Macaca fascicularis: one gene and its partners. The protein of the gene in region 6 purifies or fractionates together with the protein of the main gene of each other region. This does not show direct contact. Links are inferred from orthologs where the notes say so. Each region holds a gene or a part of one and is shown on either strand. Other genes may lie near its edges. The genes, in order: HNRNPR, U2AF2, TOP1, CRNKL1, NCBP1, HNRNPC and SF3A1.

Evidence for each region.
Region 1: the proteins of HNRNPC (region 6) and HNRNPR purify together in Homo sapiens (affinity purification with mass spectrometry; 3 studies listed by BioGRID and IntAct, with this or other methods). This does not show direct contact. The link is inferred for Macaca fascicularis from reciprocal best matches to the Homo sapiens genes HNRNPC and HNRNPR.
Region 2: the proteins of HNRNPC (region 6) and U2AF2 fractionate together in Homo sapiens (co-fractionation; 3 studies listed by BioGRID, with this or other methods). This does not show direct contact. The link is inferred for Macaca fascicularis from reciprocal best matches to the Homo sapiens genes HNRNPC and U2AF2.
Region 3: the proteins of HNRNPC (region 6) and TOP1 purify together in Homo sapiens (affinity purification with mass spectrometry; 3 studies listed by BioGRID and IntAct, with this or other methods). This does not show direct contact. The link is inferred for Macaca fascicularis from reciprocal best matches to the Homo sapiens genes HNRNPC and TOP1.
Region 4: the proteins of HNRNPC (region 6) and CRNKL1 purify together in Homo sapiens (co-immunoprecipitation; 3 studies listed by BioGRID and IntAct, with this or other methods). This does not show direct contact. The link is inferred for Macaca fascicularis from reciprocal best matches to the Homo sapiens genes HNRNPC and CRNKL1.
Region 5: the proteins of HNRNPC (region 6) and NCBP1 purify together in Homo sapiens (co-immunoprecipitation; 3 studies listed by BioGRID and IntAct, with this or other methods). This does not show direct contact. The link is inferred for Macaca fascicularis from reciprocal best matches to the Homo sapiens genes HNRNPC and NCBP1.
Region 7: the proteins of HNRNPC (region 6) and SF3A1 fractionate together in Homo sapiens (co-fractionation; 3 studies listed by BioGRID and IntAct, with this or other methods). This does not show direct contact. The link is inferred for Macaca fascicularis from reciprocal best matches to the Homo sapiens genes HNRNPC and SF3A1.

What each region holds. Positions count from the first base shown.
Region 1 is NC_088375.1:211,810,522-211,814,897, forward strand, and holds the end of HNRNPR (heterogeneous nuclear ribonucleoprotein R), read left to right. Parts: coding exon 1-52; intron 53-2,271; coding exon 2,272-2,393; intron 2,394-2,530; coding exon 2,531-3,143; 3' UTR 3,144-3,811; downstream 3,812-4,376. UniProt on the Homo sapiens protein: Component of ribonucleosomes, which are complexes of at least 20 other different heterogeneous nuclear ribonucleoproteins (hnRNP). hnRNP play an important role in processing of precursor mRNA in the nucleus.
Region 2 is NC_088393.1:63,619,858-63,623,754, forward strand, and holds part of U2AF2 (splicing factor U2AF 65 kDa subunit), read left to right. Parts: intron 1-3,521; coding exon 3,522-3,805; intron 3,806-3,897. UniProt on the Homo sapiens protein: Plays a role in pre-mRNA splicing and 3'-end processing. By recruiting PRPF19 and the PRP19C/Prp19 complex/NTC/Nineteen complex to the RNA polymerase II C-terminal domain (CTD), and thereby pre-mRNA, may couple transcription to splicing.
Region 3 is NC_088384.1:97,136,208-97,140,547, reverse strand, and holds the start of TOP1 (DNA topoisomerase 1), read right to left. Parts: upstream 3,069-4,340; 5' UTR 2,824-3,068; coding exon 2,791-2,823; intron 2,461-2,790; coding exon 2,436-2,460; intron 1-2,435. UniProt on the Homo sapiens protein: Releases the supercoiling and torsional tension of DNA introduced during the DNA replication and transcription by transiently cleaving and rejoining one strand of the DNA duplex.
Region 4 is NC_088384.1:67,252,843-67,257,197, reverse strand, and holds the start of CRNKL1 (crooked neck-like protein 1), read right to left. Parts: upstream 3,013-4,355; 5' UTR 2,899-3,012; coding exon 2,848-2,898; intron 1,207-2,847; coding exon 1,054-1,206; intron 35-1,053; coding exon 1-34. UniProt on the Homo sapiens protein: Involved in pre-mRNA splicing process. As a component of the minor spliceosome, involved in the splicing of U12-type introns in pre-mRNAs.
Region 5 is NC_088389.1:60,461,210-60,465,106, forward strand, and holds part of NCBP1 (nuclear cap-binding protein subunit 1), read right to left. Parts: intron 3,808-3,897; coding exon 3,705-3,807; intron 2,898-3,704; coding exon 2,804-2,897; intron 1,499-2,803; coding exon 1,395-1,498; intron 1-1,394. UniProt on the Homo sapiens protein: Component of the cap-binding complex (CBC), which binds cotranscriptionally to the 5'-cap of pre-mRNAs and is involved in various processes such as pre-mRNA splicing, translation regulation, nonsense-mediated mRNA decay, RNA-mediated gene silencing (RNAi) by microRNAs (miRNAs) and mRNA export.
Region 6 is NC_088381.1:88,872,707-88,876,603, forward strand, and holds the end of HNRNPC (heterogeneous nuclear ribonucleoproteins C1/C2), read right to left. Parts: intron 2,966-3,897; coding exon 2,852-2,965; intron 2,611-2,851; coding exon 2,450-2,610; intron 2,351-2,449; coding exon 2,267-2,350; 3' UTR 452-2,266; downstream 1-451. UniProt on the Homo sapiens protein: Binds pre-mRNA and nucleates the assembly of 40S hnRNP particles. Interacts with poly-U tracts in the 3'-UTR or 5'-UTR of mRNA and modulates the stability and the level of translation of bound mRNA molecules. Single HNRNPC tetramers bind 230-240 nucleotides.
Region 7 is NC_088384.1:21,328,819-21,331,818, reverse strand, and holds part of SF3A1 (splicing factor 3A subunit 1), read right to left. Parts: intron 2,984-3,000; coding exon 2,738-2,983; intron 1,844-2,737; coding exon 1,636-1,843; intron 1,127-1,635; coding exon 972-1,126; intron 1-971. UniProt on the Homo sapiens protein: Component of the 17S U2 SnRNP complex of the spliceosome, a large ribonucleoprotein complex that removes introns from transcribed pre-mRNAs.

The DNA of each region.
Region 1 (4,376 bases), on a different chromosome or scaffold from region 6:
GTTGAAAGATTATGCATTTGTTCATTTTGAAGACAGAGGAGCAGCTGTTAAGGTAGAAATTTTGAAATTTTGGTTCTTGATATTTGAATTTTGTTTCTGAAACCTGCCAAACACGTAAAGTAATGTTAAAAACTGAAGTAAAATTGACTGTTAGCTTTTGCTGAACTCTTTCTATTTAATCTCTGTTAAGTGGTAATAGTATAACAGATAAGACTCCATATTTCAAAGCCAGATTATTACTGAATTTGTGATCTTAGGCAAGTTATTTTTAATCTCTATTGTTTTGTAAGATTTGATAGCATGATGCCTTGGAAGTATTACAAGGTATAAAAATTAGCTGCTGTAAACACTAAATAGGTAATGAATATATTATAACTACTTAGTTTACCTCAGTTTGTGTACCTATGAAGGAAACTGAGTGGTGTACATGACTCATACAGTATTTGAGTAGATGTATTGTGATGAGGGTATGATTAGTTTTACCTTTATTTAATCATTTTAGAGTTAAAATAGCATTCACTATGTTTTACTGATTTCAGTAATTGTTAGAGATAACTCTTGTGTATAATAGTTGATTTAGTCTTTGATGATAATAAGTATGAAGAAAGTATTTTCATATGGTATTTGGAACACAAAACCTGCTTTCTATTGACAGTGGGTTCGGACTATCTTTAATGGGTGAAATTTTCAGTTTCTTTTTCTTGTTCATCTCTCCTTCCTTGAGGGGATGGGAAGCAAGACAAAACACTACTAAAATCTTTTTTATGTTACTGGGAAGATAGATCCAGAATGCTTAGTGACACAGGCATGGTTCTTTTTTGGCATGTTTGGTTGGTGGGATACTACCGCCTCTAATTTGAGCATTTTTTGGTTTTGTTTTTTGCCCAGGGTGCTGCTTTTAAAACAGGCTTTCTAGAATCTCTGACTCGTTTATAGTTAATCGGCTTGCTCATTGATGATAGCTAATTAATGAGGCAGTATTGTTCATAAAATTCATAACTTGTCCAAGATCACAAACTCAGTAATAATCTGGCTTTGAAGTATGGAATCTTATCTGTTATACTGTTACACTCTTATCTGTTAATGTGTGGCGTCTGAAATTTTTACTGGTATAGAATGCAGATAACTAATAATTTTATGCTTTCCAAATATTCCTCCTGACTCAACTGGTTTTAAATAACTGGTTGTCCTGATGGAAAATATTTATAGGATGGTTTGCCAAGGAAGCCTATTAAATTATAAAATATCTAGTCCAGGAACTGGGAGTCACCAGGATGGTCGGGGCAGAGAGTAGATGTTTCATTTTTTAATTTATGCCAGGAAGCTTTTGTAAACTTGTTTAGTTGCTTTTACTGAAGCAGTACAGGGAAAATTGCAATCTTGAGGACTAGTTTCATTTTTGTCTAGATACTTATAAATCACTAATAGCTCGTTATAAATAGAACATTTTTTTATGTGTGCCCAGAGTGGGGAGAAAGGTATAGGGAAACAAAAAATAAAATATGAGGAGGTGACATTTTGTTACTGAGTACCTGAACCTTTTGATGTATGGCAGAGGTTGTTGGGTGGAACAACATGAACAAAGGGCTAGAACATGGAATGTTTGATTACTGCTTTCTACGTAATTGCTTGAGTCTTCATTAGTCCAGGCCTTTTCTGGCTCTGTACTTTAAACTGTTCAAGCAAAATACATTTCGAGTTAAGCATTGTGAGGGAAACCTAGGTTTTTTTGTGTTGGTATCTTGAATTTTACAGATAATCTCACTCTGTAACCTCATTTGTGCTTCAGATCCTTGAAATTTTTGTATAAGAACAGTGTAAGACCTGTATGTTGTATGCTACATGTTTATTTAAAAATTCTAATCCTGAAAAGTTAATCTTTGGTTCGTATTAATATTGGCATTTTTCCCTGGTATGGATTTGCTTCTTTGGTGTGGATTTGCTTCTTAGGTATGGCTTATCTTTTAAGGAGTTAGTTATTTGGAATTAAGGAGCAGCAATAGGTGGCAGCCCTTTTACCTTTTAAAATACAGTATCAGGAGGTAGGTTTTGTTCTAAATGTCATTTACATATAAAAAGATAAGGTCTAGGGAAACGTATTTTCTTTGTGTTTGTGTTTAACTTTCTGGCTAGATTCACCTTTTGGCCATTTAAAATAATTGTGCAGTAAATTATTAAGTATATTAAATGAGTCAAGTATGATAGCATGCACACTATATAAAACATATAGTTTTATATCATAAAATAAATTAATTTTTCAATTTTTTATAGGCTATGGATGAAATGAATGGCAAAGAAATAGAAGGGGAAGAAATTGAAATAGTCTTAGCCAAGCCACCAGACAAGAAAAGGAAAGAGCGCCAAGCTGCTAGACAGGCCTCCAGAAGCACTGCGTGAGTCTACCTTTTAGTAGATATGTCTTTGGACAAGGAATCTCCATTTGATAATGGAGATTGGATTAATAAAACACAATCAGAGTCTTGAAGCAAACTGATTTGTTTTTTCTTTTCTCCCTTCCCTCCTTTGCTAGGTATGAAGATTATTACTACCACCCTCCTCCTCGAATGCCACCTCCAATTAGAGGTCGGGGTCGTGGTGGGGGGAGAGGTGGATATGGCTACCCTCCAGATTACTATGGCTATGAAGATTACTATGATGATTACTATGGTTATGATTATCACGACTATCGTGGAGGCTATGAAGATCCCTACTACGGCTATGATGATGGCTATGCAGTAAGAGGAAGAGGAGGAGGAAGGGGAGGGCGAGGTGCTCCACCACCACCAAGGGGGAGGGGAGCACCACCTCCAAGAGGTAGAGCTGGCTATTCACAGAGGGGGGCACCTTTGGGACCACCAAGAGGCTCTAGGGGTGGCAGAGGGGGTCCTGCTCAACAGCAGAGAGGCCGTGGTTCCCGTGGATCTCGGGGCAATCGTGGGGGCAATGTAGGAGGCAAGAGAAAGGCAGATGGGTACAACCAACCTGATTCCAAGCGTCGTCAGACCAACAACCAACAGAACTGGGGTTCCCAACCCATCGCTCAGCAGCCGCTTCAGCAAGGTGGTGACTATTCTGGTAACTATGGTTACAATAATGACAACCAGGAATTTTATCAGGATACTTATGGGCAACAGTGGAAGTAGACAAGTAAGGGCTTGAAAATGATACTGGCAAGATACGATTGGCTCTAGATCTACATTCTTCAAAAAAAAAAATTGGCTTAACTGTTTCATCTTTAAGTAGCATTTTGCTGCCATTTGTATTGGGCTGAAGAAATCACTATTGTGTATATACTCAAGTCTTTTTATTTTTCCTCTTTTCATAAATGCTCTTGGACATTATTGGGCTTGCAGAGTTCCCTTATTCTGGGGATTACAATGCTTTTATGGTTTCAGGCTTCATTTTAGCTTCAAAACAAGCTGGGCACACTGTTAAATCATGATTTTGCAGAACCTTTGGTTTTGGACAGTTTCATTTTTTTGGATTTGGGATAGATTACATAGGAGTATGGAGTATGCTGTAAATAAAAATACAAGCTAGTGCTTTGTCTTAGTAGTTTTAAGAAATTAAAGCAAACAAATTTAAGTTTTCTTGTATTGAAAATAACCTATGATTGTATGTTTTGCATTCCTAGAAGTAGGTTAACTGTGTTTTTAAATTGTTATAACTTCACACCTTTTTGAAATCTGCCCTACAAAATTTGTTTGGCTTAAACGTCAAAAGCCGTGACAATTTGTTCTTTGATGTGATTGTATTTCCAATTTCTTGTTCATGTAAGATTTCAATAAAACTAAAAAATCTATTCAAAACATTACCTATTTCAAATTCAATTGTGTCCTAAAACATTATTTTATTCGTAATCCTTGCAAGGAATATTGTTTTCAAAGTATAACTGCCTATGTGAGTGATCAAATTCATGCAAAATTTCTTGTCTATTCCAACATGTATTGTGGATATTAGACTGAGGATTAGTCTAAATTCAAGTATTTATTCCAATTAGCACTTCATTGATTGGTGTTCTCTCATAGTCTCTTCTAATTTTGAAATTTTATCTTTTATTTAAAAAAAAAACAGGTTCATAGACTTTTGAGCATTCTTGCAGGCATTGGATAATTTGTGTTAAAACAAATAAAATGTGGCTGGGAAAGCAGACTGCAATCTATTTTGACCCACATTCTTTATAAGGGATAATTTGTGACTGAAGACCTTATTTGCTGGATAAGTGAATGTACATACAGGGAAAACTGTTAGTACTGTGGCGTCAATTGCACTGCGGACTTTAGTTTTAGTAAACGTGATTGTGACTACCATTTCAGTTACTGGTTTAGGAATATAATTTCCTATTACTATGTAAATTTGCTTTGAGAAACATTCAT
Region 2 (3,897 bases), on a different chromosome or scaffold from region 6:
CCAGTGCTTTTCTTGTTGTTGTTGCTGTTGTTTTTTGAGACGGAGTCTCACTCTGTTGCCCAGGCTGGAGTGCAGTGGCACCATCTCGTCTCAGTGCAAGCTCCGCCTCCAGGGTTCAAGCAATTCTCCTGCCTCAGCCTCCCGAGCAGCTGGGATTACAGGCACCTGCCACCATGCTCGGCTAATTTTTGTACTCTTAGTAGAGGTGGGTTTTCACCATGTTGATCAGGTTGGTCTCGAACGCCTGACTTCAGGTGATCCACTCACCTCAGCCTCCCAAAGTGTTGGTATTACAGGCAGGAGCCGCGGCGCTCAGCCCAGTGCTTTTCCACCATGACTTTTGGTAAATTCAGCTAACCTTTTAGAGCCTGTGATGTATGTTGACATGCTCCAATCTGAATGGACTTTTTACATATGGGTGCGTTTCCCCGATCAAGCTACAGAATCTCTTCCCCACATCTCTTCCTGGTGACTCCACTGTGTTTTCGTTCATTTTAAATCCTGTGAGTGGCCCGCCACTTGCTGGTGCTTACTGTGTGTCGGGCACCGTCCTAAGTGCACTCCACGGATGACATTCCTACGATACAGGGATGGCAAGTTACGATTGAGAGGCCAACTTTGACCCACTGCCTGTTTGTTTGTTTGTTTTGAGACGGAGTCTTGCTCTGTTGCCCTGGCGGGAATGCAGTGGTGCGATCTCAGCTCACTGCAACCTCCGCCTTCCAGGTTCAAGCGATTCTCCTGCCTCAGCCTCCCGAGTAGCTGGGATTATAGGCATGTACCACCATGCCTGCTAATTTTTTGTGTTTTTAGTAGAGACGGGGTTTCACCATGTTGGCCAGGCTGGTCTTGAACTCCTGACTTTGTGATCCACCCGCCTCAGCCTCCCAAAGTGTTGGGATTACAGGCGTGAGCCACTGCGCCCGGCCACTGCCTGTTTTTTTGTAAGTAAAGATTGGTTGCGGCACAGCTAGCCTCGTCGTGCAGTGCCTGCTTCCGGGGTAGGGACGTGGTGGGCCTTGGGGAATAGGAACGGTGGGTTATGGATCTAAGGTTGTTTCTCTTACCGGGCTGAGGGGCTTGACTCTTCTGAAGGTGATGGGGTGCTCTGGCAGGGGCTGAGCTGAGGGCGACCCAGTGATAGCAGTGGCTGCCGAGCTCCTTTCAGGCGTCCCCTGGGCCGAGATGGCCTGGTCACCATGGGAGGGGACATTCCTCCATCTTACAGATGAGAAAGAGCTTTAGGACAGTGGGAATCCCTGCTGGGTCTTCCCCATACCATCTTTGCTCCAGGTGTGATGCTTGATAGATGCAGCCGCTGAAGAGGTATGGGGCCCTGTTTCCCCGCCCGACTCTTGCAACATCCTTGCCAAGTAGGGCTCGTCCTCCTCAGTGATGAGTGTAGGAACTTGAGGCTCCGAGAAGATTCCTTTGAAGTAGTTGTCATGTAACAGCGGCTGACCCCACTGACAGTGCTCACAGTGTGTGTCTGGGCTGGGCTAGCCCTGTTGTGGGCATTGAGTCTCACAGATGCCCGGGCCACGGTGACGGCCATGCCTGTTTTCACGTCCTCTATTGAATCAGCACTTGGCCCGAGCTGTTCTCACACACGTGGCTCGCACGACAGACGCCAGTATTCTTCCCATTCTACAGATGAAGACACTGAGGCCCTTGGAGCCTCATACGGTACAAACATGACTTGAACTCAAGGAGCCATGTACCCAGAGAGCCCAACTCTTGCACCCTTGGCCCTGTGTTGCTCAAGTGAGACGTGTAGAGCCCGGGCTCGAGGCCGAGCTTCCAGTGTGACCCAGGCACAGCCTGCAGCCTGCCGTGCTGCCTGTGGAGAGTCACAGCTGAGTGTGGGCTCTGGAGGCTGTCTTTGTCCTGCCTCTGTGGCTGTGCTCTGTGCCTCAGTTACTGCCTTCTGTGCTGTAACAGCATTGCAGTAGGAGACTTGAAAGTCTGACAGGATGCCTGGCCCTTGGGGTGAGTGCTTGGTGTGTGTTCCTGCTCCCGGGCTGCTGCTACTTGTCGCTGTAGCATAGGAGACCGGTCTCCTGGGGTCTTCGGGGCCCCAGTCTGGTGTTTGGAGCCGGCTGGGTTGGTGCTTCCAGTTCTCTGGTGGCGGCGTCATCATGGGCTGAAGGGGCTTGAGCAGGTAGGAGAGGGTGCGTGGGGGCGTCTCCCTCTTCCCATGGGCACAGCGGCTCAGCTTCTGAGGGTCCTTCCCATGTCTTGTCTTACCTGTTCCTTTCCAGCATCAGGATGGAGGTGGGATGGGGCCACTCACACCTGGTGTGGGGGCTGCAGAGGAAGGGGAGGCCACATGGCCTAGGCTTTGAACTTGGGAGTCAGGCTGGTTGGTTACCGGGTCCTGGCATAGCTGGTATCTGACAGGACGGCGTCAGGATACATTGGCAGAGCCTGTGAATCATCCCACCAGCAGGCACTTGTCTGTGAGTCCAGAGTTCAGCGGCTAGGGCAGGATCAAGGGCCAATCAATTCAGCTGATAAGCCCCCACCCTGGTATGTCAGCCCTCGAAGACATTGGATCCTGCATCCCACAGTCAGCCCCGAGTTCCCAGTGAGATCAGAGCGGCTAATGCTGCGGATGCTGCTCTGAGACTTGCTGAGCAGCCTCAGCTCCTCATTGTGCCTTGCCACCCGTGAGGGCAGGGGCGCCCCTGCAGTGGCACCTGAGCAGCCTCGGCTCCTCGTCGTGTCATGCCACCCATGAGGGCAGGGGCGCCCCTGCAGTGGCACCTGTTGTTCTGGCAGGGTGTGAAGGGAGGAACTGAGCTTTTTTTTTTTTTGAGACGGAGTCTTGCTCTGTTGCCCAGGCTGGAGTGCAGTGGAGTGATCTCAGCTCACTGCAGCCTCCGCCTCCTGGGTTCAAGCGATTCTCCTGCCTCAGCCTCCCGAGTAGCTGGGATTACAGGGTCCCACCACTACGCCCAGGTAATTTTTGTGTTTCTAGTAGAGATGGGGTTTCACCATGTTGGCCAGGATGGTCTTATCTCTTGACCTTGTGATCCACCCGCCTTGGCCTCCCAGAGTGCTGAGATTATAGGCGTGAGCCCCCCATGCCCGGCCGGGGATAAGCTTTAATGGGAGCCTTGCCTGGGTGGCTGTCAGAGAAGGGGTGGAGTGTGTTGGGACTCAGCAGTAGGTCCCGAGCCCAGGTGAGCTGCCAGCATTCCACAGCAGCAGGTGGCAGATGTGGGTGTGAACTTTGTGCCTTCGGAGCGTTCTGGAGGATGTTCTAGTTTGAGGTTCCCTTGAGGCTGGGCAGATTTGGGAGACAAGGTGCGTTCTCCCCAGGGAGCCTCTGTGCCACTGCCCAGGACCCTCCCTCGTCAAATCAGGCTGGGGTGGGATGGGCATGTGGCGGCCCCTCCCTCGTCAGATCAGGCAGGAAGTGTTCTTTTTGGCGATGGAGGAGCTTGCCATAGGCTGTCCAGGTGTTTGAGAAGATAACCTGGTACTGGAATTGAAGTTCTTCTCTCCTCTGCCCATAGGGGTTGTGTCCACTGTGGTCCCTGACTCTGCCCACAAGCTGTTCATCGGGGGCTTACCCAACTACCTGAACGATGACCAGGTAACCTCCGTGCCTCCCTCCAGTCCCGTGCCCCCCCGGCCCCATCTCAGCCCAGCCCTGATAGACTCTCGGCCGCTGCAGGTCAAAGAGCTGCTGACATCCTTTGGGCCCCTCAAGGCCTTCAACCTGGTCAAGGACAGTGCCACGGGGCTCTCCAAGGGCTACGCCTTCTGTGAGTACGTGGACATCAACGTCACGGATCAGGTGAGTCCCTGGCCCCTGGCCGCTGCCGCGTCTGTCCTTCCCTGCCTTGCGTCTGTTGCCAAGCCGTGGTGTCCCCTCCTCGGGACGGGGCG
Region 3 (4,340 bases), on a different chromosome or scaffold from region 6:
TTTTGAAGAAGCATGTTTAGATAAAAAGCAAATGACAAATTATCAAATCCTTCCTTCCCTCTCTCCTTTTTCAGCTCTGTAAGAAAACAGAGATTTGCGGCTTTTTATTTTTTCATGCTAGTATCATACAGTATCACTTCAGCATAGTGGCTCAGCTCATGGGATTTAGAGTGGTCAACTCACGGCCCTTGGGCAAGCTAGTAAATACACTGAAGCCTGAGTTCCCTCATCTACAAAATAGAAATAATAGGACCTAACTCACGATGGTCCTTCCAAGGATTACATCTAATTAGATGACCCATGGAAAGAGCTGAGATTCACGCCTGGCAGTAAGTATTCAATAAATAATAGCTATTATTGCTATTAAATGTGAGCCAACACTTCTAAAAGTCAACATAGGCAGATTACTTCAGCCTCTATAAATATGTCAGTAAAGATCAATAACCTAACCAGCTCACAATCATTCACGTGACTTAGGTGAGAACCATGTAAGTTAACTTTCTCACAAGAAGAAAGGGCTAAACTTTGTTTCATTACTTACATTACCTACTCAGCCCAGCCTGACAGCCAAAAGAATACATTCTATATTAAGATCCCACCTTCCTCTAGCGAAGTCAAAAGGACTTCTTACAGCCTCACCTGCACATCCTTTCTTTGCCCCTGTATCCCAAAGAAACACGTCTATACTGTGGTTTTCTAAACTGCAGGCCTCACCTCCTCCCTCTTTTAAAATCGTGATAGGTTGGTTAAATGTACTTAAGAAACACTCCAACCCGACAATTCTCTGCGTCCAGTCTTCCACAACCCTCAGCTCAGAAGTCACCTCTGAGAAATTTCCCCATCTTCAGATAAAATTAAGTCCCCTATACTTCAAAGCATTTTGGGTACACATATGCCCCAGTAATTACCTTATAATTAACTAATAATGTCTCCCCCAATAGACTGAATTGAGAGCAAAGGAGTGTTGTGGTTACAGGATCAGCTCTACACTAAGCACAGTGGTTGGCACATAACTGGTGCTCAAGAAATGCCATACTTTAAACCAGATTCTCTCCTGCTGGATGCCCCACTTCAAACTCTGAACATAAGGTTGCTCTCAGTAGAGCAGGCTAACATGATGGACTGCTGATTACAACACTAGAAAACCTACTCATCAGCTTCTCCCATTGGAGAGGTTCCCGGAACCCAGACTCAATTGAGCAGGATTATGCACCATCAAAATCAGTGGGAATTCCCAGCACACTACAGAAGGTACCTTCTCCTTCAACAGGGTTGTTTGAAAGCCTGCAAGGATGAGTTTTTTATTGGAGGAATCTTCCCTGGGTAACTGAAGTGGAAATACACAAAGAATAAATGCCTTGATTTGACTGAAAAGGGTTCAAAAACATAAAGAATTGGAAAAAACAAGCTAGTTCTTGATTCCTGAAAAACAGTGGCTCGTGAAAAAGAATGAACAGGAAGCAGGGGTGGGTGCTGGACACTCTTTGTTTCAATAAATAAAATCCTTTTTTCCTCCCTACAGCCCAAACGAAAAGGCCACCACACCAGGTCCACAAGAGATGCTCAACAATCTTTCCTTCCAACAAGTACAAACTAAACTGCGTTTCCAAAAAAACACTGCATTGGGAACCTCAGCCACAATGAAAAGTTCCAGTCACTAACAGTTTAATTTTTTAAAAATCCAACATTTACATTGGGTGACCCACAGAGAACTTGCAAACTTTCTTTAGTGAGGTACTGCTACCTTTGCAAAGAACGTAACTTGGGAAAAAACAACCTGGAAACGTAAAGAACTCCACAAACGGTGACTTTAGTTTTAGAGCCATAATTCCTATCATAAACATCCTATTGAAAAAAAAAAATTAACAGTTGCCTAAGGAAATCTTTCATTCTGGAAGCAAAAAAGGAAACAAACATGAAGCAGAAAGGGAATAACCCCCAAAATAAAGTTTAAAAAATAATAATTCAGTCCCCCATCCTTCCCTCTCTGGTGAAGTATGTGATTTATATAGCTTTGCTCTGCAGAAATCTCGTTCTGGGCAGCTCAAGGAAGGAGCCGAGGGAGGGAGAGAAAGAGACACAGGCACAGAAAGGAGAGGAGAGAGAAAAAGAAAATGGCGCAGAGACTAAGTCCCGACCGTCGACAAGGCGACTTTCCCGGGAGGAATCCCGGCCCGGAAAGACCGCCCGAGGCCGGGTGGCGGACGACACCGGGTCTCCGTTGCCCCCTCTTGGGAGGGCCGGGATCTGGGGGAGCTGGGGTCCCCGGAAAGGGGGTCAAGAGGCGGCCCGATGGGAACAATGGGGCCGGTGAGCGAGGAGCCGGGACTTAGTCTCTGGGACGCCATGTCTGTCCTCTGCCCGGCACCGGCAGGGCGCGGGGGAGGCGGCCGGCGGCTGGGGGGCCCCGGGGTCGGGGCAGGGGGCACACTCACCATTCAATCGGAAATCCGCTTCGATCTGGAAAAAGAAAAGGAGAGAATATCAAACAACAGCCACTTTAACCCCTCTGGCGGCGAGCGCGCGCGGCTGGGGGTCTGGCCCACCCTGCGCCCCCAGGGAGGACGGGGTCCCGGGGGTAGCCACGGAGGGCAACCATCCCCCCTCGCACTGTAACTTCGCGGCCCTTGTTCGCGGCCTAGCGAGCCGATCTACTCCGGCGGGCGGCACCTCGCCGGGGGCCCCGGCCTGTCAAAGCGGCCGGGCCGGGGCTGGGGTAGGGGCCTGCGCCGGGGGTCGCGGGACGGCCAGGCTGGGGTCCAGGGCTGCCGGGGTCAGGCCGGGCCGTACCTGGGAATCGTTGTGGAGGTGGTCCCCACTCATGTCGGCCCGGAGCGACGAGCGCGGCGGCAGGCTAGGCGGCGTGGGGGAGACGCAGACGGCGAACCGGCCTGTGCGGGCGGACGGGGACCCCGGAGCCTCGAGGAGGCGCAGGTAAGCGGCGGTGACTGTGGGCCCGAGACTCCAGAAACGGCTGAGGCTGCTACCACGGCGGCGACGCTGCCTGACTGCCGGGCGGGCGGCGAGAACAGACCCCACCAGTTGTGTAACAGCCTAAGTTCGCATTTGGGCTCACTGCGCCTGCGCGGTCGCTTTTAAACAACACGTCGACGACGTCAGCGATCGCGGAAAGAGGCCGAGGGTTGCGGCCCGCCCCCTCACGGTTCGCCTGACGGACCCGGCTTCGCATCGCAAGCCCCGCCTCCGGACCGTGCGCGCGCCGCTGTGATTTGCATAAGGAGCCGACTCCTCCCACGGCGTCCCACCCCAAGCAGCCTCCCCTTCCTCTCTCGACGCCTTTTCTCGGAACCCCGACCCCTCTGCTAGGCAGTGCGCAGGCGCCACCCGGGCACCGCCTCCGGGCCAGGGCTGGCCGCGCAGCCACGTGGTGGGCCTTTAAAGGCCGCGGCGGGACCCAGGCGATCTTGGGCGAGCTGGTGTCCCGCGTTCCCATCTATTTGGAGCAGCGAGTACCTTGGCAGCTGGGACCCCAGAGGTCTCCCCGGCGCCTCCTTTCTTGCTAAGCCGGCCCTGAGGCTGCCTGGTGGGAGGAGTCCCCTCCCCAGCCTTTGTCCAAGCCCTCCAACTTCTGGAGTATTTCACGCCCACTTGTTAAAAATTATTTTAATTTTTCAACCAACCAAGGGTCCGGTTTAGCCCCAGTTTTCCGCCGAGTACATGTAGCCCTGGGTCACCAAGGGTCTGATTTCTTTGGTTCATTCTACAAATACTTACTAAGCATCTGCTATGAGCCCAGGAATTGTGCTGAGGGGAGGAGGAATGCAAGAGACCAAAGGGAACTGAACCTGTCTCTATCCGCGGCTGTATCCCTAGCATGCTGGGAGGACGGAGCAAATGGGGAATAGAACTACCTTTTATAGAGCATCTATTCTGTGACCAGCTCTGAATTCTGAACAATAGCTCTGTGAGGTCGCCTGTTTTACAAAAGGCAAACTGTCTTAAAGACAAGGCACCAACAACCACCTACCTTGCATCTATAGTTGGATGCCTCTCAAGCTTCTCTGGGGATGAACTCAACTCTACTTAGCTAGAAAAAGCCCCATCCTGACACCTTCCTTTCCCTCATTTCCCACCAGTCCCGCTGATTACTTCTCTTCACTCCATCTACTTCTCTCTGCCGCCCATAAGCCTTTGAAGTCCGCGTTCTCTTGCTTGGATTAATACAATACGCTGGCCGGGGGTCGTGTCTCACACTTGTAATCTTAGCACTTTGGGAGGCTGAGGCTGGCAGATCACTTGAACCCAGGAGTTCAAGACCAGCCTGGACAACATGGCAAAACCCCGACTCTACAAAAAAAAAAAACACAAAAACTGGCAGG
Region 4 (4,355 bases), on a different chromosome or scaffold from region 6:
CAGTCCTGTTTTTTCTTATGTTATCTTCAAAAGTCTGGAAGAAGGCAAAAAGGGTCAAGTCAAAGGGCAAATGACTAAAAATGACAGCACCCTTGGTCTATTTTAAGTCTTGTACTAAACTGGTTATTCATTTTGTTCATATTTAAGAGAAATTACATCCTGGAATCCTTGAGGAATAAGAAATCCACTACAGAAGGTTACAATCAACTAACTGATACTTTGAAATAGTCTATGCTTGTCCCTAATAAAAAATATTTTGACTATTACCCGTAAGTCCTCTGGTAACGTTCAGAATTTCATATATAACAGAATTCATGCTTTAAAACAGTCCCACATTCTAGAGTGAAGAGGTCAAATCAGATCCCAAAGTCTTCTCATAGTCCTTTTGCAGATCTCAATTCCTTTTCCTTTCTTCTCTTTTTTCTTTGAGACAAAGTCTCGCTCTGTCGCCCAGGTCGGAGTGCAGTGGCATGATCTCGGCTCACTGCAGACTCTGCGTCCTGAGTTCCTACGATTCTCATGTCAGCCTCCTGAATAGCTAGGATTACAGGCACTTGCCACCACGCCCGGCTAATTTTTGTATTTTTAGTAAAGATGAGGTTTCACCATTTTGGTCAGGCTGGTCTCAAACTCCTGACCTCAGGTGATCAGCCCACCTTGGCCTCCCAAAGTGCTGGGATTACAGGCATGAGCCACAGTGCCCGGCCAGATCTCATTTCTTAACACAGAAGGTGGTATAGACAGAAGTACACAGTCCAGCCTTACTAAGCATACCCCCTTCCAGTTGTCCGTTGTTTCACCTGCTAAACTTCCACCCATTTTTGATTCAGTACCAAAAATTATGCAGATTCAATTGTTTTATACTTTAACCAGACAACTCAAGGCATATTTTATATAGTTCAGAAAAATGCTGTTATCTGGTAACCAGAAGGCATTATTCATGTGTCTAGGAACACTAACCTCATCTTGCCCTACAGAATCCAACCAGCTTTTCAAACTCTGACTGATACACTCTTAACAATTAGTGGACTGAAAGATACCACACTGACTGACCTTCCTTTTCCTTAGTTTATAATCATTTAATTCTTCTTCATCTGTGATCTTCTGTTGAGGTGGAGGTGGAAGAAGCTCAAGTTCTCTTTCTTTAGCCTCTCTTAAGAGTTGTTCAGCAGTTATCTGTACCTCAGCCGGGGCTTTGTTTTTCACCTTTTAAGAACAAGACATTTCTATTTTTAGTAGATGCTCTTCACACAAGGTTTAAGAAACAAACATACATTTTTTAGGATATGAACTTCATTAGTATTATCACAAGATGCTCTCTTTGTATGACATGTTCCCATCCTCCATGAGACTAAAAAGAAAAAAAAATACTATGTTTTCTCTCTTATTCATGGTATCTACTACAAAGCCACAGGTAAAAGTCTCAAGAGAAAAAGGTGGCAAAAATAATACCAAGTTTTCCCTTTTAGATGAGTATAATAATAAACTTTGAGGCTGTGTAGGTAAAATTCTGACCAGAGGGTTTATCAAGATGTGTAGCACATCTTATTAATAGCATTACCACCTGCATTCGCAGAATTCTTCAACTTATTTAATGCCCCTGGTGGAAAAGTGGGTATGGTTTTTCACGGAACCTCAAGTCAAAGGCACTATTCAATAAGTTCCCATCATTAGACTGTAAGTTTCTTGAGGTCTTAGAAGTTTACAGTCTAACGTAGCTTAGAGCTGTGCTGTCCAACACAGTAGCTATGAGTCACATGTGGTGAGCACAAATTGAGGTGGACTGTAAATGTAAAATACACACTGGTTTTGAAGATGAAGTATGAAAAAAAGAACAAACTATCTCACAGTTTTTATACCGATTACATGTTGAAATTATAATATTTTGGATACATTAGTTCAAATAAAATATATATTATCAAAATTAATGTCACTTTTTTTGCTTTGCTTTTACTTTTTAATGTAGATAGGAGAAAATTTAAAATTTCATGTGCTGTGCACTGTATTTCCATTGGACCGGTGATGCCCAATAAAAGTGTACGTAGCTGAATTATAAAAATTGTTATTTAATGCCACGTGTGGAGTAATGATAATGGTGATAGCTCATATTTAATAAGCACTAAGTGCCAGACACACTGTTACTTGCTCTACATGCATTACTTTTGCGAGTCAGACAAATAGTTACGTAAAGGTCCAGTTCAAGAGAGTCATCTGGGCTCAAGAAAGACTGGAGGGAGGATATCTGTAAAGGCTTCAGACAAATTCTGACACATATTAAGCACTTCGTAAGTATCAGCTATCGAGGGAAATACCAGTTAGTAAATCTACTGTTTAATTAACTTATGATACTATACTACTACTGCCGTCTATTCTCACCCTCCGCTGTCAGCTGGGCTAACTCCTATTCAGTCTTCAAGTCTCAGCTTAAAGGTCATTTCCTCAGCAAAATTTACTCTCAGGAACCCTTCATACGACCCCCTTATTCACGCCCATGGCATATTCTACTTTGCCTCTCAGTAACATCTGGCAAGATCGTCCTCATACACACACTCGTGTTTTGAGTACTGCTTCTGGCCAGCGTCCGAGCGTAGCTTCCCAGCGCCCAGTGCAGTGCCTGGGTCAGTAAATCTTCACTGAACCACTCCACTCCTCCTCCCTGCAAAACCACCCCATCGTGCTCCGCGATGACAAGAGCCCGCGCCCCACCACCAGCTGACCCTTCCTCTCCATCTCTCAGGGTGGGCCCTCTCCCCGGCGGGAACACTGTCTCCCGCCCGGGGCACCCCCAGGGCTGAGGGATGCCCCTCTCCTGGGCCACCTCCCACAAGGCCCCTCGCGATCGCCTACCTTGGCCACTTTGGGAATCCGCTGTTTCCCGGCCGCGGTGGAGGCCGCCATGTCTGCAGCAGCGGACCTCGGGGCACCTGTCCCCCGCACGAAAGCTAGAAATCCGCGGTCTGAGAGCTCACCGAAACCACAAAGATTTCCGACAACAAACAGGATCCCGGAATCGGAAGCGGAACTCGCCAGGCTGACCTTTGACCTCTCGCATGCGCCGTGACGGACGTGGCACCGTTTCCATGGGGACCAGGCTGCGCGTCCTCCTTACAGCAGCGCGCGGAGTGCGGCGTCCTGGAGCTGCGCGTGAGGTGGGTAGCGCCGGCCTGACTAGCAGCGACGCGAGGACTGCGATTCAGGGCGTCAAGGGCGTATCCCCAGGTCAGCCTCCAGAACTGGGATGACCAGGCAAGGAAGAGAGGCTCTGTCTAGCCGTGGCGCCCTGCAAGGGAGTAGGGTCGAAGCTCCAATCTGGATGCTCGAGGGGCGGGGGAACGAAGGGAGAGCGAGGAAACTACCATTCCCAGTATGCGAAGGGGCGAGCTGCCGCCCTTTTAGGCTGTCTGGCTCTGCATTGCATTCTAGGTCTTGTAGTCTCTGGGTCCACGCCCCCTCGTTTCTGGTTTCTGGACAGTTGTGCCCAAATAATTAACTCTAAGGCTTGGAATTAAAAATAACAGAAGGTACTTAGAAGCCAGATATTAGGACAAAATGAAAGTAAAAAATAGAGTAACTAGAAAACAACTCAGTCTTGTGATAAGAAATATGTTTAAATTCTGTGTGTGCCTTAATTACTCAAATTTTCTTAGCCTCAGTGTCCTCAACTATAAAACAAGGGTAATACCATCTGTTTCACTAGGATTAAAGACAAATGCTCAGTAAATGTAGCTATTATAATACTTAACCTGCCCTCAAAAACGGAAAAATTAAGCAAAAGTTAAAAGAATTTTTTTAATAGACAAATTTTTAGAGAAGTTTTAGGTTCACAACAAAATTAAGTGGAAGGCACAGAGATTTCCCCCCTCAACAGCTTCCTGCCATCAATTATTATACCTCTTCCCCACTTTAACAGCCTCCAACTCTCAAAAATATCCTCCACCAGAGCGGTACATTTGTTACAATCATGAACCTACATTGACACATCATTATCACTCAAAGTTCGTAGTTCATGTTGGGGTTCACTCTTGGTGCTGTACATTCTATGAGTTTGGACAAATGTACAATGACACGACTTGGCAGCACATTTGTTAGAATAATTTTCATAGTTGCAAGGCTCTTTTGGTTTTTGGGGAAAATATATATTGTGTATGTAGTAATATCACGTCTACCAATGCAGCTATTGCTTTCAAAAAAAGATTGATGCAGATTTCTAGAACTGCAGTTATAACCAACATCAGTATTTTTGCCATAACTCTTTATTAACCATATTATTTAGATATTTGATCTCACTTTTCAAAATTTAAATAGAGAAGATTTTATATCACTTTCATAAAGCCACCTAACAAAATAAAATATAT
Region 5 (3,897 bases), on a different chromosome or scaffold from region 6:
ATGCAGTTAAAAGTTCCATGCAGATTTTTGACTGTGTGGGGGTGGGGTAGGTGGGGGGAAGTCGGTGTCTCTAACCCCTGATGTTGTTCAAGGGTCAACTGTACTTCCTTCTACAAATTTTGACCCAAATAATAGTTTAAGTGGAAGATAATAAAACAATCTGTTCATAAAACTCCAAGTCTAGAATGTTACGAAACAGGACAAAAGAGCAGAGCACTTTAACTCTGAAGGGGGTGGACTGTAGTCAGGGAAAGGTTTGCAGAGTTACAAATATTTGAGCTAGGTGTTAAAAGAACAGATGGAGCTGCTGAGCACTACACAGATTCCAGAATGCCTGGTTTGAATGCTGGCTCTGTGTTTAGTTGTGTGACTTTGGGCAGGCTAAAGCACTCTGTGACACTTCCCTATTCTGTAAAATGTGGACAATAATGGAACCTCCTCTATGGTGATGCGGTAAGGATAAAATGAACTGAAAATGTAAATCACTCAGGACAACGGTTAACACATACTCGGGTGGTTAGTTTTCTGGAGTTTACAAATCTGAAAATGTCCTTCTGTTGTCTTTATTTGTGAAGGCCAACCTGGCTGGTATGACAACCTTAGATCATACCTTATCACCCTAACAATTCAGTATATTTCAGATCAGTGTCCTCTGGCAATAACAGATACAGTGGAAAAGTTAAAGGTTGTGATGGATTTTTATGTTTTTACAAGTAATTTGCTTTAGTTTCCTGCTTTGTGTCAACTCCTGCTGTCCTGGTCCTATCAACTGTAAAGTCTGTGAACTTCACAAATAAGAACCAAACAGCAAAAACTCTTTCCTTTAGGGGGAATGAGTGCAGAATGAGTCTTCTGCATTAAACCTAAGATTATGACTGTGGTGACAACCCCTTTTCCCCCATCCCTCAGGCGTCTTGGTAATCACCAAGCCTTCCCAGATACCTCCATGATTTAATCTACTTTGACTTTGGTTTCTCCTACTTCCTGGTGTGCATTCCAGGTGCCATCCCCACAGAAGCTGGAACACTTCCTGATTTCCATCTGGACTAGCTGAGACTCTGCACATAGCTGGCTCTTGCTAGTTTTCTCTCCCAACAGTCTGGATCCTTCAACAGGACTTCTACTTCACTAGCTTAGTCTTGATTCAACTTAAGAGAGTCCCTGCTAAGAGATGCTGCAACTTAAGAGAGTCCCTGCTAAGAGCCCCTGCTAAGAGATGCAGGCTGTGTATGTTTCCACTGTCTAGGAATTTTTGCCATGTCCAATCCGACCAGACTGGATCACAGTATATTAATATCAACCTGGTTTGGACCAGAATTTGAAGCTTATGTATAAGAGACCACACATATATCAATTCTTAGAGAACACAAGTTTCATAAAATAATTCATATTACCTGGTAAAGTCACGAGACAGTTCTGAAGAGAAGATCCAATTTGCTACTGCAGCACAATCAACTATTTGTGTACGAATCATCTTATCCACTAGTACAGCAATCATCTACAATGAGAGAAGAATTATTCAAGTAAATCACACACACACATACACACGTATATGTGCCACGACACTGCTACCATAAAAGTAAAATAGGAGGGCTAGGGCTATAAAATCTAGTTTTGATGGCTGTAGAACTGATTGATCAATTTGACCATTAGGTCTTTTTTTTTTGGAGACAGAGTCTTGTTCTGTCACCCAGGCTGGAGTGGAGGGGCACGATCTCGGCTCACTGCAACCTCCACCTCCTAGGTTCAAGCAATTCTCCTGCCTCAACCTCCTGAGTAGCTGAGATTACAGGTGTGCACCACCATGCCCGGCTAATTTTTGTTATTTTAGTATAGACAGGGTTTCACTCTGTGGCCTAGGCTGGTCTCAAACACCTGGCTTCAAGTGATCCACTCACCTCAGCTTCCCAAAGCACTGGGATTACCGGTAAGAGCCACCGCGCCCTGCCTGATCATTAGATCTTAAGATTTATTCTTCCCTTTGCTTTGCTCTAGCACTACAAGAAACAGGTTGACTAAACAAAAACTCTGAATGGTAACAGTTAAAATTTGAAAAAACTGGCCAGGCATGGTGGCTCACACCTGTAATCCAGCACTTTGGGAGGCCGAGGCGGGTAGATCACCTGAGGTCAGGAGTTCAAGACCAGCCTGGCCAACACGGTGAAACCCCATCTCTACTAAAAATACAAAAATTAGCCAGATGTGGTGGTGGATGCCTGTAATCCCAGCTACTCGGGAGGCTGAGGCAGGGCAATCACTTGAACCCGGGAGGCAGAGGTTGCAGTGAGCCAAGATCACACCACTGTACTCCAGCCTGGGTGACAGAGTGAGACTCTGTCTCCAAAAAAAAAAAAAAATTTAAATTTCAGTTACTAATACCTATTCAAAAAAATATATAATTTCGAGGAACCTCAGAAGTTAAATGTAAAACAATGTTTTATCATTAAAAACTCAACTGTTTTATGAAATTTATTTAAATGTTTCTTTGTAATACACAATATATATCAAGGTTTGAGAAATCTGGAGCTTGTATTTAGAAATTGGATAGACTAGATAAACTTCTTGCTGAACATTTAAAATATGTTGAGATATTATAGTTCAAAACCAAATCACAATAATGCTTGCTCTTTCAAGAATGAATCAAACATCATTACTCCCATAGCACTGAAAGAATTAGATCTAAAAACCATTATCTAGGCAGAGTCAAATTTCATGTTTTACAAACAAAACAGTAGTAATTAACGGCCTTATTTTTATACCTATATAATCAGAGCTTCAACATGTCTAATTAAATAATTTTTACCTGTGGATGGTTCCTCCAGACCTCAAACATAACTCTTAGCACATGTAACTTCCCTTCATCACTTTCAGCTAGGGTTTTGAAGACTTCATGAAACCTTTTGATAATGGTGGGAAAAAAATATCATATATACTTATTCGTTAAACATTTCAGTGTTTTCAAAGCCTTTTCAATGTTACTCAATTTATAATGCAATATGCAAATGCAAAATAACTGTAAGTATTAACCATTAAGGATGCAAAAAGTGTGATTAGAGATTCATAGTTTTTAAGGAAGCTGTCACAAAATCTCAAGACATTTACAATATACTACCGTTAGCCCAGGGCTACAGTTTATAAGAATAGGTAAGGACTAAGGAACTGTCTTCAAACATGGTGGAATATTCAAACTGCATCTTCTGTGGGAACCCTGCAAGTAACATAAAGCCTTGGAGGCAGAGATGGGGTGAGATGTTCAGTTTCTCTGCTTGGTTGGAGGAAAATCTATGTGCTCTTTCTTCCTTTGGACCCTGTCTAACAAGTTAAAAATATCTGTCTTTAGATGTCAACCTTTGGGTGGCTCCCAACAATGTAGCTGATTCTAATTTCTTCTTACATTGCTTGGCAAAGATACTTAGCGTGGGAACTTCCAACTGCATATGACTGTCCTAAAAATCTAGGTTTTTCACTACTTTAAATGTCTATATGAAAAAAAGCGCTTACCATGTACATATGCCAACTGTACAAACAGACTGATGGAAGCCTTAGGATACAGATTTTAGCTACCACAAACCCAAACCCACTGTATCCAATTATACATTATTAAGATCTTCATATTCAACAATCTTAGGTAAAAATTACTATACCACTGGTGTTCATGAAGCAAAGTTCCAAACCCTCAAGAAAGGCTCTGTACTCATACATACTTTGCAAGAGCACTGAAGGAGTGGCTGAATGATTTGGCTGCCAAGTGTAGCAGAGTCTGTACAAAGACTTCTATTTTCAATGGGTTAAAACTGAATCCTTCATCTGAAAAATATTTTATAATAAAATAGAAAAATGTAAGTACAGCAATCCCTTGGTGCCTTACCTCAAATGCTAAATAGATGGTACGCTCAC
Region 6 (3,897 bases):
AATTACTTTTGCACCAACCTAATATTAAGTGCTTTCCACAGCTTCATTCAATATCTGCTTTCCTACAGAATTAAATGTATAGTTGGCCCTCCGTGTTCGTGGGTTTTACACATGCAGATTCAGCCAACTATAGATCGAAAATACTAGTAAAGAAAAAAAAATTAAAAAGTAACAATACAAATAAAAGTAGTTACAACTATTTACATACCATTTACATTTTATCAGGTATTTTAATGTAGAGATGATTTAAAGTATACAGGAGAATATGCATAGGTTACATACAAATACTATGCCATTTTATGTAAGGGACTTGAGCATCTGCAGATTGTGGTATTCACAGCTAAATAGACTGCTCTGTGCGGGGAAAGAGGCCCTACAGTGAAGTGAAAAGTAGACACTTGATTGTGGACTAATTTTTCCAGTATTTCCCAAAAACTTACAGCTAACAACATAATATTAAACATGTTTTATTAGCATCTTATACATCTGACACTCTCTCCTAAGCATCCAGTTTATTTTCTAGTCATGGGTTACTTACTAAAAGTCTATGTAACATGAGCTCACATCAGATCAGAAAACATCAAGTGGGTAGTATTTTTGACTGAATTAACATACAAAAGAAATTGCCTATATCATGTATATGGGCTCCAAGGGTAGTTCATAGTTCAGCCTCTTCATTCTTTTCTGCTTTTGTCACCTGATATAGAAAATGATCTATAAAATCCTTATAAATAAGACATGAGTTTCGCCTGTAATGAGTAGGATGAAAAAAGGCCAGTGCTGCATGCTATGAAACAATAGCAACTTTATAGGGGAATCCAAGGTTTGTGTGCACAAAAATTATAAACGCCATTTTCTGCTGTGCTGGAAAAACTGAAGTTTAAAACACAAATCAATTAAGCCTTTCAAGGATGAGGTATCACAACACTGGTAGCTGTTTAATATATTCATTTTAAGTAAGACTGGATGCTAAAAATACAATAACTGTAATTAATAAAGTTGAGGGAAAACACAAAGATCAGCTAATAGGGGTAAAAGATCATTTAGGGTAAAATAAATGTAACATTCTTTATGTTCTCAATCACCTGGGAAGGCAAGACTGTGGAGTATCAGGAAATAAGAGTTTTCTCGTTTTCAGTAACATGGAGATATACACTTCAGAATTCAGAAGGTAACTGAGGCTATAAATAGTAATTAAAAGAACAAAACAGAAGAAAGCAGGGAGTTCCATTGTCCAGCTGTTGCAATTTTCCTGAAATCTTGTTTTTGAGTCTCTCCTATTTAAGGACAAAGCAATTTAGCACACAACAAAAACCTCAAAAAGGGTGCCAGTTGGACCACAAAGCACTGAACTTTCATTAGGATGTAAAAGCCATTTTGAAAAACAATCGCCACTGTATGTCAAGTTATTTGACTCCTCAATGCAACATGCAACTCAATGAAATATAATTTGAGTAGTGTTGTGTTGGTATGTATCATGATTATGACTCCAAGAAAAATGTATCTAGTACATTCTAGAGGTTTTGTGGAGGACGCTGTAAAACAAAGTTTGAAGTAAACAATAATAAAATACAAAAATAAAAAACCAGGGTTTTTTTTCTCCAAATTCCTGGTTTAATAAGGACTTGTTTATTTTGAGGAAAAAAGGTCCCAAACATCAGGCTGTTCACAAAAATAACCCACAGTATCAACTTTAGAAAACAAATCTTAAGACTATAACACTAATTATTTTTCTAGAGGATGCATTTGACATGCCAACTCTCATTCACAAAAATACATTGTTACATTTGTGTTGAACTGCCCCACACAGCACACTAATGTGGGGGTGTAACACACATACTTCTAACTCAAAGCTGCTTTCAGAAGCTACTCAACTAAATGAGATTGCCTTTGCAGTTAGGGAAGCAACTACTGAACTTATGTATGAATGAAAAGAACTGTACTCCCTGCATAACAAGAGATTATTTTGGAGACAGTTGATAAAAACCATACATCCTTTTTATTGTTAAGTCATAAAGAGGTATCAAAATTAAAAGCAAAAATTACAGGGTAAGACTTAACAAAACTACTAGGAGCGTCAAAGGAAGTGAAAATGGGACTAGGCGCGGGGCAATATGAATTAATGAACATGGGAAGGACAAGGATGGGGAGAACAGTGAGCATGTGCTGAAGATACTAGGGGAGAGGATCTGGTGAAAAATTTGATCTTAGACAAGCGCCTAGGTAAAGAAATAATGGGATAAGATTTCTAAACCCCACTATGTGCTTAAGAGTCATCCTCGCCATTGGCGCTGTCTCTGTCATCCTCTCCTTCCTCAGCCTCTTTTTCATCATCCTTGATCAACTCCAGCTGTGAGAAACAGACACAAATAGGATGGAGTTAGAGGCACTCCATGTGTCCCTGAGCCCCCCTCCACCACCTTTTTCTTTCCTTTCCCGTGGTTTTCACCTGGTCATCCCCCCGATCTTCATTATCATCATCATCCAGTAGGTCCCCCTCCTCAGCAGAGTCATCTGCACCCCCCTCAGACTCCATCTTCACATTAGTCTCATCTTTCTTCACGGAGCTGCTGCTCTGCTCCTCTTCTGACTTATCGTTCTTCATCTCTACTGGGGATGAGAAGGACAAGTCTGTCTAGGGGCAGTAATGTCCACAGGATGTAGACAATCCCCACTAAGGATCACAGAACTGCAGCACAAATCTAAATCCTCCCACACAAATACCCTTCCCAATTCACACTCCCCAAGTTTCATATTACATTGCTTTATATTCCACTATTCCAACATATACTTTAAAGTGCCTTACGTAACTAACCCAACTATATACCCAACAAGCAGAAAACCCATTTACCTGCTTGTTTGCTCTGTTCCTTTTCAATTTTTTCCAGGTTTTCCAGGAGAGAATCCACTTTTTGTTTTATCTGGGTCAACTCCTTCTTAATGGCCTGAAGGTCATCTCCTTTCACTTTAACATAAACAAAATAATGGATTAAAATCAAATGTACAGAAGATATGAGTTAGCAAATACACTGGCACTAGACTACATCAGGAGCACCCAGGGAGAAACAGAGCCAGTACAGATTTCCCTGTAATAAAGGCCCTTGGTTCTACTATAAAGCTTATAACTACTTACTGTAATTTTTTTTTTTTTAGTATCTTTTAGACTTGGGTTATCGCTACATTGCCCAGTTCTGAGTGCAGTGACTATTCACAGGTATGATCACAGTGAACTCCTGGCCTCATGCAATCCTCCCACCACAGCCTAGATCCCCAGGGTCTTAGCCTCCCCCTAAGCATCTGGGGCTACAGGCGTAAGTCACTGCATCAGACCTTCTGTTGTTTTACTGCCTTCCATATTTCCAGTTACAGGAGTTCAATACAGAAAAGTTTAAAAATCAATATATTGAACACTATCTGAATTTTAGTTTTTAAATAACCCACAAAAAAACCCTCAGAAACTTAACACACACCTCAACTAAATAAAGTCAAATGACATCTTTCAAATCACCTAGCTGTTGCAGTCTAGAATTGGCCACTCAGTCACAATCTCGTCTCCTCCATTATTTTGGATTTTTAAAATTATTTTTCTTGAGATGGAGTTCGCTCTTATCACCCAGGCTGGAATGCAATGGCACAATCTCGGCTCACTGCAACCTCTGCCTCCTAGGTAAAAGCGATTCTCCTGCCTCAGCCTCCCAATTAGCTAGGATAACATGCATGCACCACCATCCCTGGCTAATTTTTTGTATTTTCAGTAGAGATGGGGTTCCTCCATGTTGGACAGGCTGGTCTCGAACTCCCGACCTCAGGTGATCCGCCTGCTGGGCCTCCCAAAGTGGTGGGATTACAGGCATGAGCCACCACACAGCTGGCCTCTTCCATTATTTTGAATACACA
Region 7 (3,000 bases), on a different chromosome or scaffold from region 6:
CAGCTTCCCAGCTAACAAGGTCTGTCTGAGCCTCAATGTCATTATCCATCAGAGAGGATTAATGACTGTTTTGAGTATTGAGTGGAAGTATCTGTAAAGTACTTAGCTCTTTCCTGGTACTTGAGTTAAGCATTTAAGAAATGGGAACTATTATTAAAAAACAAACAGGGTGGGCGCGGTGGCTCACGCCTGTAATCCCAGCACTTTGGGAGGCCAAGATGGCGGATCACTTATGGCCAGGTGACAAGCCTGGCCAACGTGGCAAAATCCCCTCTCTACTAAAATACTAAAAATACAAAAAGTAGCTGGGTGTGTGATGCACACCTGTAATCCCAGCTACTCAGGAGGCTGAGTTATAAGAATCACTTGAACCCGGGAGGCAGAGGTTGCGGGGGAAAAACAAACAAACAAACAATTTGGTCAAAGACATTGGGGGAGCAGAAGCTGGGGCTGTTTCTGTATCCTCACTGCAGCCTGACAGCTTCTCTAGGGACTGGCAGTGACAAGGTCCCCACCTCCCCTTATTGCAGGACCCCAACAGGATCCCACCCAACAGGCAGACCTCCTAAGGGCTAGAGCTGGGGAGGAAGGCCACAGTAAATTTTAAAACACCACACACAATTTCCTCCAGGGGTCTAGGGTCCCTCTCACACCTGAGTTGTGCTGTCCGTGCAGCTGGGTCTCCCTGTTGGCCTGTTAAGTCTACACCAGAGGGACCACCACAGTTACCACCTCTGCCACCACCACCATCACCACCACCACCATCACCATCACCACCAATGCTCTCTGCTCCTCTAATTTTTGACCCCACATTCACGGTGTGCTCAGAAGCCCTTAGATGCCTCCAGCGGCTGACCTACGCCCCAGAAGCCAAGACTGGGAGTAAAATAGGGTCAGTCTGGGAAGTGTACGACAGGGGCGAGGCTGAACCCTCCAGCTAGAAACTTGAGCAGCATTCTGGGATCACATACCTTGTTTCTGCGCAGGAACTCCTCCTCTGGCATGAGGCTGTCTTCTGTCTTCAGTTTTTTGGAGGTAGGCTCATCTTCCATGGGAGGTGGGGGATGAACAGGGGGCATTGGGGCTGGAGCTGGGACAGGTGCCACAGGTGGAGCAGGCACAAAGGCTGCAAAGATAAGAATAAGCAGCCCCATGAGAGGGCAGAATGGGCCCAGGACTCAGGGCTGATGAGAAGTTGAGAGAGGAGGTTGCAAAGGTTTCCTCTAGTCAGAGGTGTGAAGTGCTGTTCCCTGATGAGTCTGGCAGCCAGCAGGTTCCCCAGCAGGGGGACCTGGGAGGCTGCCCAGATTGGATAGCAGAGGACTGCAGGAGGGGCAGGACTGACGGATGGAGCTAGTGCCAGGCAACAAGCAACTCTCAGGCCTCTGAGCCTGTTAGGGACCTGATCCCTGAATGCAGACACCGGCTACATCATTTTAGCCTCCCATTTCTACCAGGAATGGTAGCTCCCAGCTCTAGGGTTGCGGATCTTTCACACAGGAAGCCAGGGCCTCTCCTCTGGGCTGGACACCCTGCTGGAACAGCTCGCACTAGCATCAGCCACAGCTCTGTTGACAGTACTTGGCCTGTGGTCCCTGACCTAATGGCCTGGAAAGTGATGCAAGAGATACTGACCTGTTGGCACAATCATAGGGGGTGGGCGGGGGGCCATGATAGGAGGGGCCGAGGGAGGCATGGGCACCACGTTGATTCTGGGCGCGTGGATGATGGGCGGCATGGGGGCGATCACTGAGCCTGGGGGCAGCCGAACCACAGATGCCATTGGGGGCCGGGGCATGACAGGTACTGCAGAGACAACTGTAGTACGAACTGGAGGTGGCATCTGTGCAGGAAAGAGACCCACAAGTTACAGGAAGCCAAAGTTGGACTCCAAGGGCACACACAGTTGGCAACTGGCCGCCTGCAGCTCTGAGGATGAAGGTTAGACAGCTCCGTCCTGGCCCCCTGGGACTGAGAAACTGTGGCCTCACACTGGGCGTCCAACAGGAACTGAGCTACTGAGAGCCTGAGAATGACATTCTCTCTGCTTGGGACTTGGCAGGTCAAATTCGACCAGCTACTTTGGCAATCACTGAAAGAGTCACTAAAGAGGCTGAGACCTTGGCTGGGCACAGTGGCTCATGCCTACAATCTCAGCAGTTTGGGAGGCTGAGGTGGGCGAATCACCGGAGGTCAGGAGTTCGAGACCAGTCTGATCAACATGGAGAAACCCTGTCTCTACTAAAAATACAAAATTAGCTGGGCGTGGTGACGCATGCCTGTAATCCCAGCTACTTGGGAGGCTGAGGCAGGAGAATCACTTGAACTCGGGAGACGGAGGTTGCGGTGAGCCGAGATCGTGCCACTGCACTCCAGCCTGGGCGACAAGAGCGAAGCTCTGTCTCAGAAAAAAAAAAAAAAAAAAAAAATAGGGAGAGGAGCTGAGACCTCGACTAAATCTCCTGGAGACAGGCCAGCAGTCCTCACAGACCCAATAAGCCCTGCAGCCCTTCTCTGACGCTAACTGGTTTCTCACATTTGCCTCTCACCTCCCTCCTTGTTCCAACCCTCCTCCACAAACAGATTAAGCTAGAGGTTCCCACTTGCATTTAAAGGGCTCTTTCTCTTTCAAACTGACCCACCCCACACTGTAAGGCAGTTGCCCGTCTCAGCCAACACTGTCCGACCTCAAGAACAAAGCTCTAAAAAGTCAGCTGCAGGGTAGATGCTGGCTTACTGTGGGTGGTCGGGGCACTGAAGTGATGGGTGGGGCCGAGCTGGGGATGTTGGTGGCTGAAGATGGTGGCGGTGGCTGTTGAGGGATTTCATTGGGCTTGCTGGGGCCAATCTTCTCTTTGGTGTCATCCTCTGGCACCAGGCCTTTGGCTTTGTGAATGGCCTCAATCTGCTCCTGGAGGGTGATGTTGGCCTGGGCAGCCTGCTGGGTCCGGGCCATGCTGCCTGAGTGGCCATCCCAGGTCACCTGCAAGTGAAAGCAAA